4 linked regions of the Ovis aries genome follow. The protein of the gene in region 1 interacts with the protein of each later gene in a pairwise test. Links are inferred from orthologs where the notes say so. Each region holds a gene or a part of one and is shown in the gene's direction. Other genes may lie near its edges. The genes, in order: AHCYL1, SLC23A1, GEM and CDKN2C.

Region 1 (3,564 bases):
GATTCAGAATTTATAGTTCAGCTAAGGAAATTGCTGCAGGAAGGTGAGGGTAGTACGTGTTATGTTGGCTATTGAGGTGAACCCAGAAGCTTTGCCAGAGAAGAATGGGGCGGTACAAGTTGCCCTATTTTGTCACTCTGCCGAATGGCTTTCGTAATACATTCTGATTGTACTGAAAGATACCTTAAAGACAACGTTGAGTGGTTTTTTTAATTAGGCGAATATTCCAAGTTAGATTCTTTCAGTGTTATTCCAAGCCTTGTCCTCTCTCTCAGAAAGCTTCAGATGAAATAATGGGAGGCTGTGCCCTGAGAGGCATATTTTATATGGAGTTTGCTCCCTGCTGCTTTGTTCTTCTTAGATGAGTACGTTGCCAGCTTGCACCTGCCATCATTTGATGCCCACCTGACAGAGCTGACAGATGACCAAGCAAAATATCTGGGACTCAACAAAAATGGGCCATTCAAACCCAATTACTACAGGTAACTCGGGGGAAAGTAAATGAAAAGATGTTCTCCCTGATATTATACCAAGCAGACTTTTCTAAATGGTATTATAGCTGATTTTGAAATGTACAAGAACTCTGCCCCACACTAAAAAGTAAACAGAGAAATTATCTATCTAGTAGTAGATGTAAAGAAGTCAGCATTTTCTAAAATTTTGGAGCTTGAGCCTCCCCCCGAGAGATTCTGATAGAGTTAGTCTAGAATGGGGCCCAGGCTTATTTTGTAAAACTTCTTCAGATTATTCTAACATATTGTCACATTGAAAATCACTGACTTATTAGGGAGCGGGAGAGAAAGCTAGAGATGGCATTGTTGGAAATCCTGTGGAAACACAGTGAGAAATGATCCCTGGGGAATGACTGCAGGAATCCCTGGCCTATGCAAGGGAAGACCCTGGAGAGTGTTCTCTGTTTTTTATTCTTCTCTTGGAACTCTGATTTGGAAGACACAGGTGCTAACCAGTTACTCTTTCTTTACAGATACTAATGGACCATATTACCAAGGACCAGAACACATGAACCACACAATTCTAAAAGAAATATTTTTTAAGATAACTTTTATTTTCTTCTTAATCCTTTCCTTTTGATTTTTTTTTTTTCCTATAATTTCTTTCTTGGGTTTTTTTTTTTTTTTTTTTTTTTCATCTCATTATCCAAGTTCTACAGACCACACAGGAACTTGCTTCATGGCTCTTTAGATGAAACTGAGATTAAAGGTTTCTCACCCTAGTCACTAAAGAAGGATTTTACTCTCCCAGCCCAGAAAGGTGATCCTTTCTTTTCCATTTCTGGGGACTTAATAGTCTTAATTGGGTACCTTATTAACAGGAGACGCTAAGGTACCGTCTGTGTGGAACAATCTGCAATGTCTAAATTGCCTTAAAAGAGCCCATTTCTCAGCTGCTGGAATCAGTGCTCTTTCACTTCTTCAGAGGAGCAGGGATGGTACCTACCAGGCAGGTAGGTTAGATGTAGGTGGTGCATGTTAATTTCCCCTAGATATTCCAAGCCCTGTTTCCTGTGTAAAGGTGGTATGTTTGGTTCAGAGATGTATACTAGTGAGTGTTGCTTGTTAAGATCCAGTAGGCCCACTTGGATTTAGTACAGCCCTTCCTCCACTTCCCACCAGACCCTCTCATTTTCCAGGTTTTTAACCAGACTGTTCTGTTAAGTTGAATTTTGTCCCCTAGCATTTATTTCTGTTTTTGTTTTAGGGTTTTTTATTTGTTTTTTAAGTAAGAAAAACGTTTAGTCTTAATATTGAGGAGCTGCTTGAGTGATTAGTTGTTATCAGTTTATCTTTTGAACCTTTGGAGCTAAAAGTGCAGAGTTGAGTCTAGAGAAATGCTGATTTCAAATTCTGATAATTCCAGTTTCTAGCCCATAGTTCCTAGCATCAATGAACTGTGGCCATAATAGCGGATTTTATCAGCTCTGCCCATCAGCTTGTGCTGGAAGCAAATTTCTTGAGTCATTAGTCAGTATATAGCACTGAACTCTCTTTAAGAGCAAATTTCTGATCAGCTGTGCTTCTGCAATTTAAAATATTTAAAGGGAGGTAGGTGTGGATGGGAGGAGGAAGGCTAAATTGGGCCAGGGTGAGGGAAATCAGCTCTGTTTAACTTGTCTGGGACATTAGGCCCCATATAACTTAGGTTTTACAGAAGCAGTACCACTTTTGATTTACACGTGACACAGAAAGTGTGCGAACTGAGACCTCAAAGGGCAGTTTGTGCCTAGAGTAATCGGTATGTCCTGGCTCACGCTCTGTAAGAATCCCCAGAAAGGCTCTCTTAGAGATCAGAGAGATGATATATTCCCCTGCCATGAACCCTGCTTACCAGCATTTCTGCATGGTCAGACGAGCTTTATGCTCATGAGCTTTAAATGCATAATTATCTAGGATTCTAAATCCTCAACTTGTTCTAGCTTGTGATCCTTCAAAGTTGGGTCAGGCATTAGTGCTAGATACTAGAAATTTTCATTTCCCTGTTGTTATTGATCAGCGGGACAGGCATTAATTAAAAACAGAAATATAAAAAAGGAAAGCTTCCACCCTGTGACTTCCTATCAGGGGACAGTGATCTTGCCAAAAATTTTTTCCCTTTTTTCTCCCTACCCTGCCCCTTCCCACTCCTTGCCAATGCAACCATGCTTTCTTCTCTGTAGATGCTAACAGTTCAAGCCCTTTTCCCAGGGCATTTAACCAGCCAATCAGAACAGCACATCCTTTAGGGGAGATAACCTGGCCAACAGTGGTATCCATCATGTCAGCTCTGCTAGAGGGAAGGGGCTCAGGTCCTGCTACCCTCTGGCCTGCCCCCTGCTCCCATATCTTTTACTGTGTCCATAGGAATACTCGATAAGGGCTCCGTCTCTGTCAAGCCATGTAACAAAGGACACTGTGGGAAAATGTCTGGCATCAGAGGGAGCATGTGGAGAGCAACTTAGGAGGAACAAGTTTATTTTGTATTGAATGATTTTTAATGAATGCAATATTAATCCTTGCAGACGAGCAATAATCATTAAAGTCAATTAAAATGATAAGACCTTATTGGAATCCTGTGTCATTCTTGTTTGAACAACACCTTCATTTAGAATCTGTTTTCCAAGATGGGACAAGTCATTGGTCAGTTAGCAATATCTGAGAGATTTTTTAGGACCTAGTATGTAGAGGAAGAGGCTAGATGCAGAGTTCCTCAGTAATATCTTAAATTTTGTGTCTGCTCTGTGCCCAGCATTGGGCCTACACACTTTCACTTTAACTTCGTTCCTGCAACTTGCTGCCTAAAATTCAGGCTGCCTCAGGTACACAGTCCCCTTCATAAGACCCTGTACCTAATTCTTAAAAAACACCTCCAAAGTTATGTAAGCTTTAGCCCATCCCCACCCCACACCATACCTGTATCCATCGCTGAAGTAGTCTCCATATTTTCTGATTTAACAGTGTATCTGTTAATATTGTTCAAAATAACACCCTTTCTATTTTATTAAACTGATCCCAAACAATGTTGATTTTGCAGTGCAGATTGGTAAAATGAATGTTTTTAGTTCTGCAA
Region 2 (4,270 bases), on another chromosome or scaffold:
TGTGTGTGTGTGTGGTATGTGGTTTGGGTAGACTTGAATGACCAAAGGACAGTGTGTGGAAAGGGTGGGGCTGTCTCTCCAGCCCCCTAGGGAGTACCGAGGAAAAGAGGGTGGGGAGGAAAGTGCTGAGGAGTACAGGCTTTGAACTGGTCAGACAACTTTGGGAACCTGGGAGCAGTAGCCAAGAAGGGAGAGGAGAGGACAGGCAGGCAGAGCAACGGGCTGGAGGCTGGAGCAACGGGCTGGAGGCTGGATAAGCCTTTGGATTCAGGGCTGTGACATGAAGCTGCTACCCAGCTGGACAGCGATGCTGCCTGGTAGCCCTCGGGGCAGGCCCTGGCCGTGGGCACAGCGACCCAGAAGTAGGTGGACCCTGAGGGGGCTGGGAAGGCACGGAAGGGACCTCGGGCTCAGCCCCCACTGGCCTAGAGCCTCAACCCCTGGGCTTTCTCCAACCCCTAGGTGGGGAAGATGGTCCGGCCCAGGGCTGCTTCAGGGGCTGTGTGGCCATCACACAGGGCCTGATGCTTAGAAAGGCACCCCCCCCCCCCAATTTGGTTTAATGCTCTGCTGTTGCTGTTTTAAAATTTATAACACTTTTGGAACAGGGGTCCCAGGTTTTGCACTGGGTCCCACAGATCACACAGCTGGTCCTGGCTAGGAGGGAAGGAAAGGAATCCTTGTCCTGACACAGAGGACAGGCAAGACCGGGCTAGCCCTGGCAGCTCCTTGGGCCTATCTGATTTTGCCTCAGGGACCCTGAGCGGTAGTGGTGGGGAGGGCAGTCCTTCATGACATTTAATGTAGAAATAAATACAGTGGGTTTAGGCGTTCAGGCAAACCTAATTTTTGGAATGGTTTTCTAAAACCTTGCGACCTGTGTGGCCTTGGTCAGATCACATCTCCTAAATCTGTTTCCATCAGCTGTGAAACAGGTTAATAGAGCCCAGAGCCTGGGGTTAGACTTGACAATACAAGGATGTTGCTTGGCACGCAGTCATTCCTCAATAACAAGATGGGTTATGATGATGATAATGATTAACTTCTTATTAATAAGTAGAGAAAAGCCTGATTCAGAGTGTGACATCATATGTGCCCAGGGTCACTCCCTTTCTCCTCACCTCACCCAGGGCCTGGTACCCTTCCAAGGTCGTCCACTCCTCACCCTCCCTCTGGCCCTCTCTTGGAAAACTCATGGCCCGTGCCCAGGCTCAGGTGCAAGCAAGGGAGTGCTCAGGAGGTACGTGTGGCAGAGGCTTGGGCGGCCTTTCCCACTACAGCCAGAGTTAATACGTTACCTCAGCCTGGGCCCTCCTTTCGCAATCAGTGATAGAGATCTGGTTACAGATTTACTTCAAACAATGCCTGATATGTGGAGTAAAGTCCTCCTTGGCCTTTGTAAAGCCATCCCTCCTTCTCCTCAGGAACGGCTCACACCTGTGCCCCAAAGATGAGGGCCCGGGAGGACGCTGAGGGCCAGACACAGGTGCTGGGGGATGAGTGGGAATGGGGTGGGGTGGGTGGGGGTGGGGTGCTGTGCAAGCCTGCTCCCTCTCTCTGCTGTGCAGAGAGAAAAGTTCTGATGAACTGGATCAAGAGTGACTGTCCTAGGTGGAATGTGGCAACTGGGGGAGGCGGTGGAGGTGGCAGTGGGGGTGAAAGAGCTTTCTGCTTTGGGACTGGCTGACTCCAGCCTGGAATGAGCAGGGGGCCAGCCTACCACCCCCCACTAGCGGACACTCCAAGGACCGGGGCACTGGTGGGACCAGAGTGGGTCGAAGAGGGTCTGTCTCGGTCTTTAGCCCTCTTGGCCTCTTCCTGGGGTACCTCCAGGCTTCTGACTCACGGGCCCATTCCCTTGGCTAGAAGGCCCAGGTTCCGGGGGCTCCTGGAGCCAGCACAGTGGACTCACTCCTGCACAAGGCAACGTGAGGTGGGAGCCAGGTGTAGCCAGGCCAAGGGAGAGCGGGTAGGTGAAGCTTGAGGGAGGGCAGGGGCCCCCATCTGTGGAGCCGACAGGCCACTAGGGGCACCTGATTGATTCTGAAGCAAAGTGGACTTTTTCTGGGTGTCAACGCTGAGTTCTTCTATATGCTGCCCCCAGCATGAGTCCCTGGGTTCGGCAGGGACCTCCACGAGGGACCCCCCAGCGTCCCTGTCCACAGAACCCAAGTTTGACATGTTGTACAAGATCGAAGATGTGCCGCCCTGGTACCTGTGCGTGCTGCTGGGCTTCCAGGTGGGCGTCTCCCAGGCATACCCCTTGCGCAGCCCCCACCCCGACCACCCTGCACCCACCCCAGGATCCCAGCCCCCTCCCTGGCCAACGAGGTCATCCTGGGTAACAGGAAGAGAAACCTAAGGTCAGCAGCAGTGACTGTCACCAAGTCGGTGGGGAAGAGGCTTGATAGGGTCTGAAAGGGACGGCGCATCACCCGCCAGGGGGAGCGCCAGTGACAGGGAGGAGGCCCATCCCACAGGAGCTGCGGGAGTAACCCGGGGCAGATGGTGACTCCCAGAGAGGTGAGCAGTCGCTCTGCGGGAGTCCCTTATGGGAGTATCAGTCCCAGGCGGGCTCCCTGGTGGGGCTGGCCTGGGCTCAGGCCCCCTGAGGCAGGGTGAGGGCTCTGAGGCCCCCTGCTTCCGGGCGGGCTCCCTGGTGGGGCTGGCCTGGGCTCAGGCCCCCTGAGGCAGGGTGAGGGCTCTGAGGCCCCCTGCTTCCGGGTGGGCTCCCTGGGCCCTGCCTCACGTGCTGCCCCCATCTCCCCGCCCCTAGCACTACCTGACCTGCTTCAGCGGCACCATCGCCGTGCCCTTCCTGCTGGCGGAGGCGCTGTGTGTGGGCCGTGACCAGTACATGGTCAGCCAGCTCATTGGCACCATCTTCACCTGTGTGGGCATCACCACCCTCATCCAGACCACACTGGGCATCCGGTGAGCTGCCCATGTGCCACCTGTACCTCCGACCCCGTTCCTATAGACACACGCAGCGACCCACACAGCAGGCGCAGTCTCAGAGGGCTCTCGTGGGACACAAAGAGCTGCTATTTGTGCCCACCTGCTGCTCTGGCTTCCAGGCCAGACTTAGAGGCAGGTGGCTGGGGTCCCACCCTGGACCCCTGGGAGTTCCTCAAGGAAAAGGAACGTGCCTAGCTGGGCTCTCCTCTGTTCAGCCTTACTCTGGGCAATCGGGACCACTCGCTCTCCTGCTTCCAGAGCCTTTGCGGGCCCCTTCAATGGCCTGTCCTCCTGGGGGCTCCCTGCCCCTTGTGCACAGTCCTAGGCCTGGGTGGCCTAAGGATGGTTGTTTGTGGGAAGGAAGGTTGTGAGCAGAGCTTGCACACAGGAGCCAAGCTATCCACTCCCGTGCCCATGGCCCGTCACAGTGCAGGAGCTGGTGCTCAGAGGGAAAGGGAGCAGGTTATGGGTTAGGGGCTCCATTTGTTTTCTTTCTTAGGCACCCAAAATGTCCCCGAGTCTGGCCTGAGGCCTCAGTGAGTTCCCTCTGTTCTGCCCTGGCCCCTGTTCCTCTGTGTCTCTGTCCCGGTGATTCTCCCGGTGCCTCTCTCTGTGTGGGTCCCCCGCCCCATCTCTTGTTCCTGCCTCCCCACCTCCCATCCTGTCCCTGTGGCTCTGTGCCTCTGCTTCCAGGCTGCCGCTGTTCCAGGCCAGTGCCTTTGCATTTCTGGTCCCAGCGAAAGCCATCCTGGCCCTAGAGAGATGGAAATGCCCTCCAGAAGGTGGGTGCATTTCTGGGGTCTGCATTGGGAAAGGGAATCCCCAGAGCCTGGAGGTCGGGGCTGTCCCGTGTCCATTCAGGGCAGCATCTTTACTTTCTCTCTGTCCACATGTGTGTTCCTATCTCTGCCCACAGAAGAGATCTACGGTAACTGGAGTCTGCCCCTGAATACCTCACATATTTGGCACCCACGGATACGAGAGGTGGGTTTGCATGTGGGGCAGAAGAGGCCTGGACTTGAGAGTGTGGTTAGATGGAGGGGAAGGCCACTGCTGAATTGGGGGATGTGAGAATGTGGTCCAGGAACTTTTTCTGTATAATTTTATGTAATTATTTATTTCCGGCTGTGTTGGGTCTTGGATGCTATGTGGGTTTTCCTCTAGTTGCGGCAAGCAGGAGCTATTCTTCGTTGCAGTGCATGGGCTTCTCGTTGGGGTGGCTTCTCTTGCTGCAGAGAACAGGCTCTAGGGCATGCAGGCTTCAGTAGTTGCATCACGTGGGCTCAGTAGTTGTGGTACCCGGGCTCTGGAG
Region 3 (3,960 bases), on another chromosome or scaffold:
AACCAGGCAGATCTGAGCTCATGGAAGACCTTCTCCTTTATCAGGGGGAGAGTGAGTGGCTGCAGGACCACTGCATGCAGGTCGGGGATGCCTACCTGATCGTCTACTCCATCACGGACCGAGCCAGCTTCGAGAAGGCGTCTGAGCTGAGGATTCAGCTCCGCAGGGCCCGGCAGACCGAGGACATCCCGATAATCCTGGTTGGCAACAAAAGTGACCTGGTGCGGTGCCGGGAAGTGTCTGTATCAGGTAAGAGGAGCGATGCCAGTACCGTAGAAATGTCTCTGAGTCCCTTGCATTTTGCTTCCAACGGTTGCTCTTTCCTGAAGCTGAAACCAGGGACTTACTAAAATGCCACGTGGAGTTTCACGCATCCTCTCTAAGAGGTCCATGTTCCCAGCAGATCATCTGCTCTACCTGCGGGATTCCAGTCTCTCCATCCCCAAGGCTTTCTCTGGGATTCCTTTAGGGAAGAGGTGCGGCTCAGGGGAAACTGGCCATCCCCAGCGTTTTGGCCCTTCTATTCTCCAGGGAGATCTCAAGCCTTCTGGGAAGTGAAAGTAACATCTTTAGACAGGAAGGTTGGGCACTTTGATTAAGGGGCATTGTGAGAAAGAGTCTTACCGAGATTGAGAATTCCACTCTGGCTGCCTCTGGTTCCTGTTGACCCTAGAAACACCCTCCCAGCCCTCACTCTTTGTTTCCTGAATTCCAGTCAAGGCATCAGTCTGCTGGTGTCAGGTACCCTTTGTCATAATTCAGGGATACTTCTCTTTGTTGAGCTGGCACCCAAGTGCCTTTGGGGACCTTAAAATTTTATTGGCCTAATACAGATTTGTACAATGGTAAAAAAAAAAAATAAAATGCTGCATTGCCAGCCTCCACCCAGCAGTAAAGAACCTTGAAAAAGACTGAAAAGACCCAACCAGCTTGGGAATGCCTTACTCTTGGGAAATGGCTGTCTATAGTAGTCAGTTTCCCCCAAACCAAAATGTGGACACCTGGTCATTGAACACAGTAGAACATTCGAAATTGAGACTGTTTCAGAAAAACTTGTTTGTAGAGTTGCTGTAATTGTACTGTGCATGTGTGAAATCATCAAAATTTTTTCAAAATATCTCATCAAAACTTAAAAAAACATTTTTTTAAGAGAGGAAACCAACTAGTAGGATTCTTAATTTTCGATTCAGGAAACTGAATCAGGAGAAGGAGTAAAGAAGATGAACTTGAGAGGGAAGCAGACCCGGATTCACAGCTGCTACTTACAGGCTGTGTGAACGCCCTCAAGTTTTTAAAGTACCACCTTCTCTCCCTTCCAGTCTCATCAGCTATCTGAAAGGGATAGTGTACTTTTAAAGATTGCTGTGAACATTAAAAAATATTTGTCAAGTATTTAACCCATTTCCCGAGGGGAGTCAATTTCGACGATGGCTGGGACTATTATAATTAATACTATGGCACTGGTGACATGGGACCCTCACACCGTGAATTTGGTGGGCCCGATCTAAAGCCCGTCTTTGCTGCTTCCAGGAATCTTCCTGTGAGGCTCTTTGCTTCTGTTTCAGGGAGGCCACTTGTCCCCGTGGCCTCCGGTATCCATCACGTGCATCGCTGACTTCGAGTTCCCCGGGGCACTGTTTAAAGTTAGGCCGCATCCAGCTTGGCTGTGTGCGTGGCGGGTCAAATCTGCAGCTCCCCTGACTCTCCTCTCGCCCTCTTGCTTTCCCCACCAGAAGGGAGAGCGTGTGCTGTGGTGTTCGACTGCAAGTTCATCGAGACCTCTGCGGCCGTCCAGCACAACGTCAAGGAGCTGTTTGAAGGGATCGTGCGGCAGGTCCGCCTCCGGCGGGACAGCAAGGAGAAGAACGAGCGACGGCTGGCCTACCAGAAGCGGCGGGAGAGCATCCCCAGGAAAGCCAGGCGCTTCTGGGGCAAGATCGTGGCCAAAAACAACAAGAACATGGCCTTCAAGCTCAAGTCCAAATCCTGCCACGACCTCTCGGTGCTCTAGGCACCCAGAGTCACCCGCTGTCCCGCAGAGGACATCACTGAAGGCCGCTGGGACCCATAATCTATATTAGATTGGATTCTTAAGTATCGTTAGATGTGGCTTCCCCTATTGTAGCTGGGAACTAATGTGCTAGCCTGCTGGGCAACCGTACGCATGGGAAATGAAAGGGCTTCGTGAGGAGTCAGTATTCACTTACAGGAAAAGCCTGACCTTTGCTGTCTGAACACCCAAGACTCATTAGAGGGCGTGGTCGGGGTCCACGTGTTTCTTCTCTCCTTTCGCAGATGGAGAATCGAAGCCTAAGGAAGAATGCCTGGACAAGAACTTTTCCTTGTTAAAATTTTGCCTGGTGTTCTGATATGTTATTTGAGGCCACTCAGTCGGTCCTAGGCAAATATAGGAAAGCTGTCAAAGGAGTTTTGCAAAGGAAGGAGAACCTCTGTCTTTGTAGCTTTTATTTGTGGAGCTAGAACTGCATAACTGGGTTCATCAAGGTCATCACTGTCATTGCTCCGTGAAGCTGTGAGAGATGATGGACTTGCTGGAAACGAAAGCTTAGCAAACCATTTTTGTTCAGTGCCCATAGTTGGTGATCCAGAAATCTGTAGAATTGGGAATGGATACATGTACCACTAATGGGTTCAAAAATTGTGTATTTACTATTGTGTCTTATATTTTTTTATTTAGGGGGAAATTATTTTAATCAGATTCTATTTAGCCAAACCACATTTTCTGTTGCATTGTTTTTAAAATCATGGGGACATCATAAAAATATTTTTAACATCTAAATTACTGAGAACATAGAGTGCGAAATGCCAGATTTTAAAATATAATCGAAGCTCTGCATTTTTGTAAAACACAAAATATAAATACTTCCAGCATTTTGGGTTGACCCTTGTATGCCACAGCTCTGCTCTATTTATTATTATTTTGCAAAATAACAACCATTGTAACATTTGATAAAGCATATTTATGAACCTGTTTCTTATTAAGAAAAACACCCATTTTATTACCATTTTCTATCTTTTTCAGAATATTCAAGTTTTTACCTATATGTCTTATAATAAAATAAATAAAATCTTTGGGAAAAAAAAGGCATTCCTAAATATTTTTCCTCTCCAGGAAAGATGATTGTGATCATTTTGGTATAGCTTCCAGAGCAAGCAAATTATAAAGAAACCTACCTATCGTTTTATTTCTTCTTTTCATTGGCAATAGCCTAGTAATTATCTGTTTTAAAGAGTATTCCTGACATCTGTCCTTTGGGACGTGATTCACAATAATGCAAAGTGATTTTCAGCTGATACAGTTAGGAAGTATTTGGAGTCACATAAATGCTAAGTTACAATAAAAGTGAGATTGATTTTTACTTTGGTCTGGCAAATTCCTAACTCAACAGATGGGCCTCACTTTGCTCCCCAAAGGCTCATGGTCCTAAGCTTGAGTAAAGCATTAGAGGAAATTATAAAGGATTAGGGAGGTAAAAAAGGAAGCTGGTGATTTTCAGCCTGAGATCTAGCCAGGCAAGGCTTTAACCAAATTCTCCCTGTTGACTTTATTACAGCTGGACATTAATACATAGTTGCTTTCCAGTGGCACTGTGTAGCCCTTCTGCTACAGGAGAGGGACTCCCTCTTCACACCCCTGGCCCACATGTGTACCCTCTTTCACTCTCAACTCCCTCTCCTTCTGAGTTTGTGGTCACACACACACTCACAGTGACAATCATGGGACCTTGCATATTGCCCCGAGTGACACAGTTTCACAAGGGGCTTCTTTTCTGTTCTGTTGCCCTTTCTCCTCCGTTTTCCAAGTTGGGAGCAGAAGTTCCCATCTCAGAACTTGGCATCTTTGAATCGTGTAAGGAAACAGTACAGGGAAGTGATGAGAGTAAAGACTCAGGTTACGCAGGCTGAGGTGGAATCCTGGCTGTGCCATTTAACATGTGC
Region 4 (4,155 bases), about 62 Mb from region 1:
GCTCAAAGTTCGAACTCTCCCTCTACCTACCAGGCAATCTGTTACTAATGACTATCCAGATGTTGTTGATGTGTTTCGTTGCTAATACCTACAGTGTACCTCAAGGAGCTCGGTATAGATGTTGCTTGAAAACATGCTTGCTAGAGACCGGTAATAATTAGACCACCTGTCACTTTTTGTTTGGTTTCATTTTGCCCACTGGGTGCATCATGCAACCGTGTTGGATATTTTTAAGAGCAAAAAATATAGAAAGCAGTAATTAATTAATCTTACATAGCTAAAAAAGGAAGTAAAAGTACAGAGAACTGGTGCCTCGGACGACTGAAATAAACATTAGGGAAAATACTATTCCTTTACATTTAAACACCCCTCCCCCACCCCCAACAAGTCCCATCTAAAGTAGTCAGAGAGAACTTTGACAAAAACAAAGGCCCTTCTTAGAAAACCCTTCCCAAGACCTACTTTAAAAGATTTTTTTGGCTTTAAAGTTAATTGCTTTTCTCCCTTTCCCCAAAGAAATGGAATATTTCCGTTTCAAGTCCCTGGAACATTAAGGCTTCAGTTCGTCGTGATTTCTTACCTACACCATGCCTTTAGTTTTCGTAACAATCAGTCTAGAAAAGGCTTTTGCTTTTTCTGAGCACAGTTTTTTTGCTGTCAGTCAGGTCTCTCCCTCCATCCCCGCGGCCACCTCGGCCCACCGCGGCCCTCAGCGTTGATCTGGCAGGTGCGAGGCCGAAGCGCTGGACTGAGAAAAGGAGGCCGAGTTTGCACAGAGCGCGCCACGGAGGTGGTGGCGGCAGCGATAGGCCTGGCCTCCGGAACTTCGAGAGCATGGCCGGGGAGCGCTGAGGCGGGCGGCCTGCCCCGCCAAGGCCCGGGAAAGACTAGCTCCGCGCCAGCCTCCTCTCTGCCTTCCAACAGTCAGAGCCGCCGAGCCTCCGAGGCCCTGCGGCTCTCCGCACCCTTAATTAACAAGCCTCTTTTCCCCACCTCCGGCCCCGCCGGCCTCAGGACAGCTCGAGGTTTCACGTCGCACCCTCCATTCCGCCCGCCAGCCAAAGGAGGCCAAACCCGGCTTCGCCGGGCCGAAAGCCGCTCCAGCCCGGGCCTGGCCGCTGGGCTGGCGGGTGGGAGCCAGCGCAGGAGACAGCGAGGGAAGCGCAGAGCCGGGAGGCGGGAGAAAGGGCGCGGGGCAGGGGGCGGGGCGAACCGGGCTGAGAGCTCGAGCGCCACCAGGGCGGAGGGCGGGGCGTGGGCGGCGCCCGGCCTTCCCGCTCCCGCGGTGCTGTAACTCCGCCGAGCCTCCTTAAAACTCTGCCGTTAAAATGGGGGCGGGTTTTTCAACTCAAAAAGCGCTCAATTTTTTTCTTTTCAAAAAAAGCTGATGAGGTCGGAAAAAAGGGAGAAGAAACCGGCACCGTCTCTGCAGCGGCAACAGAAGCAGCAATTGTTTGAGCGAAAAAAGAAGCGAGGGAGGGAAGGAAAAGACCAGAAAGGGGCACGACGCACAAGTGTCTGTAGGGGTGAAGGGAGCAGGGACCTGTGATTTGGGGGGGACCAGCTACAAAAGAAACTGTCACTGGGAGCGCTGCGGCTCGGGAGGAAGCGGTGCTACCCGGCTAGGCTCCCGGGCACAGCTGGCTGGCGGCCGCTGCCCTATCGGCGGCACAGGCTGGGGGCACAGGCCAGGGGACTGCGAGAGGTTGGCGAAGTGGCACAGGGCGCCGTTGAGCTCTCGCCGAGGGCGGAACTGGCTGCGCCCTGGAATTGTGGCGACTCGCAATACTCAGAGCTTGGCCTGAGACTTCCTAGGACCCTCCCGATCTCTGGAGCCCTCAGAAAACCGAGAAAGGAAGGAAAAGAAGCGGCGGTCGTTCAATGAGCTTCTACATTAGGAAGTCTGAACTGGCTCGGTTGTAGGCGGGAAGTTACCGGTGGGCTGCCCCGTGCAGCCGCGATGCTGCAGCGCGCTGCCTCAGCAGCCGGGGCTCCATAGACACTTCCCGCATCTCTCTCCCCCTTCCTCACGCTGCTGGGCGTCCCAGGACCCGGTGGGGCCGGCATGACCGGCTTGCCGGGGGCCCGCCGCGCGCCCGGCCGTCTCCGGAGACGCGCGCCGAGCCTGGCTCCCACGGCCTCTCAGGCTCGGAAGGGCTGCGGTAGCCCGGCGGGCGGGCTCCGGAGCCCTCCCGCACGGCATTAGCCCGCAGCTCGGCCTGGACGCGGATTAAGACTCATCCGGAGAATCGAAGGCCACGGAGGAGTCCTTACGACCTGTAACTTGAGGGCCACGGAACTGCTACTCTCGTTTGATTTTGGTGATCATCTTTAACCCCCGGAGCACATCAGCATCCAGCCACCGAGGCGCTCTCCCTGCAGCGGAGGACTCAGAACTACCCCTTCGCCGAGACGGATGGAGACCGAGCCCCTCCGAGGACCTGCCCCTGCGGTACTGGCTCGCGCGGCTCAAGTCACTACTGTGAGCAAGGGTGGGTTAATACCTTTTCTTCCCCCTAAATGTCTCTTTTTCCACGGTATTTTCTGCCCTAACGTAGTCCCTTAAATCTCCGCATACATTCCTCCTGGAGATCTGTAGTGTAGGTACGTGCCAGCTCTGCCTACATTTTACTTCCAGAGTAATTTACCAGGAATATATGTGTGTCTGTATATCTCTCAGTTTAATCACCAGAATTCTTCATAGGGGTTAAGCTAAAAAGCGAGGAGCGGAGCCCCTCTCCAATGGCTCAGTTTTGCTGAATAATCACGTGTGAATCGAGGGGCGGGCTTTTGGCAGGCAGATCTTACTAGTATTTACTACCAAGCTCTACTCCAGATTAACCATCCCAGTCCTTCTGTCAGTCTCCGATGCCATCATGCAGCCTGGTTAGGAGCGAAGGAAAGGGGAAAAAGAAAAACAACTAATTCATCTTTTCCCGATCGTCAGGACCCTAAAGAATGGCCGAGCCTTGGGGGAACGAGTTGGCGTCCGCAGCTGCCAGGGGGGACCTAGAGCAACTTACTAGTTTGTTGCAAAATAATGTAAACGTCAATGCACAAAATGGATTTGGAAGGACTGCGCTGCAGGTTGGTATCCAGAGAGGTGGGGAAAACAGGTCAACAATGTTGCCTACGTGACCCGGGTTTCTAGAATAATAGCTTTCAAGCTTTCAGGGGTACTAAATTTCACTGTTTTTAAAACTAGTTGGTTGCCATATTTTATATCTTTAAGTGGATCCAACTCCCCAAAATGACGTACTTTGAACAAACTCGTCAAATCCAGTAACATCCTCTATATCAAGTCGGTTCCAGGTTTGGTCTTAATTTTTGGAATGTTTTTGTGACTGTGGGGATTGTGTACCAGTCGTAGCAGCGCCGAGTTTTTTGGTTTTTTTTTTTTTTTAGACAGTTCTGTAAACACGTTATTATGATTATTATTTGAAGTAAATACACTGCTATTAGTGGTTTCCGTACTTTGCTCCAATAATTGACTTTAACGTTAATTTTCTTGACTACTGGCGAGGGTATTTTTTCCTTCAAATGCTTCAAGTTTTGACAAACGACCTTTCCTCATTTGGAATGGGTGGCCTGGGCACAGGCACAGGATGTACATTTCACAGTTAATATAATACCATCCACCCATTCAGGATTGAGGAGGAATAAAAAGTTGAATTTTCTAATCAGAGCTCAGTTTATAGTGTTTTTGTCTCTGCGGTCTTACCATGGTATGTTCTAATTTTTAGTAATTAGATTTACAAGCAACAAATGAAACATGTCCAGCTGCCAAGTATTGTACCTAATAACTTTTTTCCTCCTCTGAACGTTATCATGTAACTTGGTTGAAAGGCTTAGAAACAGAAAAATGGCTAAGTAGTCTCAAACAGTTGCTTTATCTGAGTTCTGATGATATTCTCAAAAGCAGTTCGTATTTGAAATGCAACACTTAAAAGCTGTTTTTGAAAATCCACTGGGGAGAGGGTTTTTAGAGTGCTTTGTTTTTAATTGCAAGAATGAGAAATTTAAGTGACAGGAGATGTACTACTAACAGACGAAGTCCATACACTCTGTATATTTTAAATCAGAATACACTGACTTTGCAAAAATTTCAGTATTAAGAAAGCTTATACATACTAAATTATTTATCTTGTTATTTCA

What was found.
Region 2: the proteins of AHCYL1 (region 1) and SLC23A1 interact in binary tests that used the Homo sapiens proteins (3 or more experiments, as listed by UniProt). The two-hybrid records come from large-scale screens. The link is inferred for Ovis aries from reciprocal best matches to the Homo sapiens genes AHCYL1 and SLC23A1.
Region 3: the proteins of AHCYL1 (region 1) and GEM interact in binary tests that used the Homo sapiens proteins (3 or more experiments, as listed by UniProt). The two-hybrid records come from large-scale screens. The link is inferred for Ovis aries from reciprocal best matches to the Homo sapiens genes AHCYL1 and GEM.
Region 4: the proteins of AHCYL1 (region 1) and CDKN2C interact in binary tests that used the Homo sapiens proteins (3 or more experiments, as listed by UniProt). The two-hybrid records come from large-scale screens. The link is inferred for Ovis aries from reciprocal best matches to the Homo sapiens genes AHCYL1 and CDKN2C.

What each region holds. Positions count from the first base shown.
Region 1 is NC_056054.1:87,334,294-87,337,857, forward strand, and holds the end of AHCYL1 (S-adenosylhomocysteine hydrolase-like protein 1), read left to right. Parts: intron 1-361; coding exon 362-482; coding exon of another isoform or gene 483-486; exon of another isoform or gene 487-985; coding exon 986-992; 3' UTR 993-3,059; downstream 3,060-3,564. UniProt on the Homo sapiens protein: Multifaceted cellular regulator which coordinates several essential cellular functions including regulation of epithelial HCO3(-) and fluid secretion, mRNA processing and DNA replication.
Region 2 is NC_056058.1:48,320,929-48,325,198, reverse strand, and holds the start of SLC23A1 (solute carrier family 23 member 1), read left to right. Parts: upstream 1-1,406; 5' UTR 1,407-1,450; coding exon 1,451-1,486; intron 1,487-1,866; exon of another isoform or gene 1,867-1,969; intron 1,970-2,104; coding exon 2,105-2,239; intron 2,240-2,776; coding exon 2,777-2,934; intron 2,935-3,651; coding exon 3,652-3,740; intron 3,741-3,874; coding exon 3,875-3,942; intron 3,943-4,270.
Region 3 is NC_056062.1:82,977,456-82,981,415, forward strand, and holds the end of GEM (GTP-binding protein GEM), read left to right. Parts: intron 1-44; coding exon 45-249; intron 250-1,733; coding exon 1,734-2,011; 3' UTR 2,012-3,380; downstream 3,381-3,960. UniProt on the Homo sapiens protein: Could be a regulatory protein, possibly participating in receptor-mediated signal transduction at the plasma membrane. Has guanine nucleotide-binding activity but undetectable intrinsic GTPase activity.
Region 4 is NC_056054.1:25,429,514-25,433,668, forward strand, and holds the start of CDKN2C (cyclin-dependent kinase 4 inhibitor C), read left to right. Parts: upstream 1-1,305; 5' UTR 1,306-2,482; exon of another isoform or gene 2,483-2,492; intron 2,493-2,947; 5' UTR 2,948-2,958; coding exon 2,959-3,087; intron 3,088-4,155. UniProt on the Homo sapiens protein: Interacts strongly with CDK6, weakly with CDK4. Inhibits cell growth and proliferation with a correlated dependence on endogenous retinoblastoma protein RB.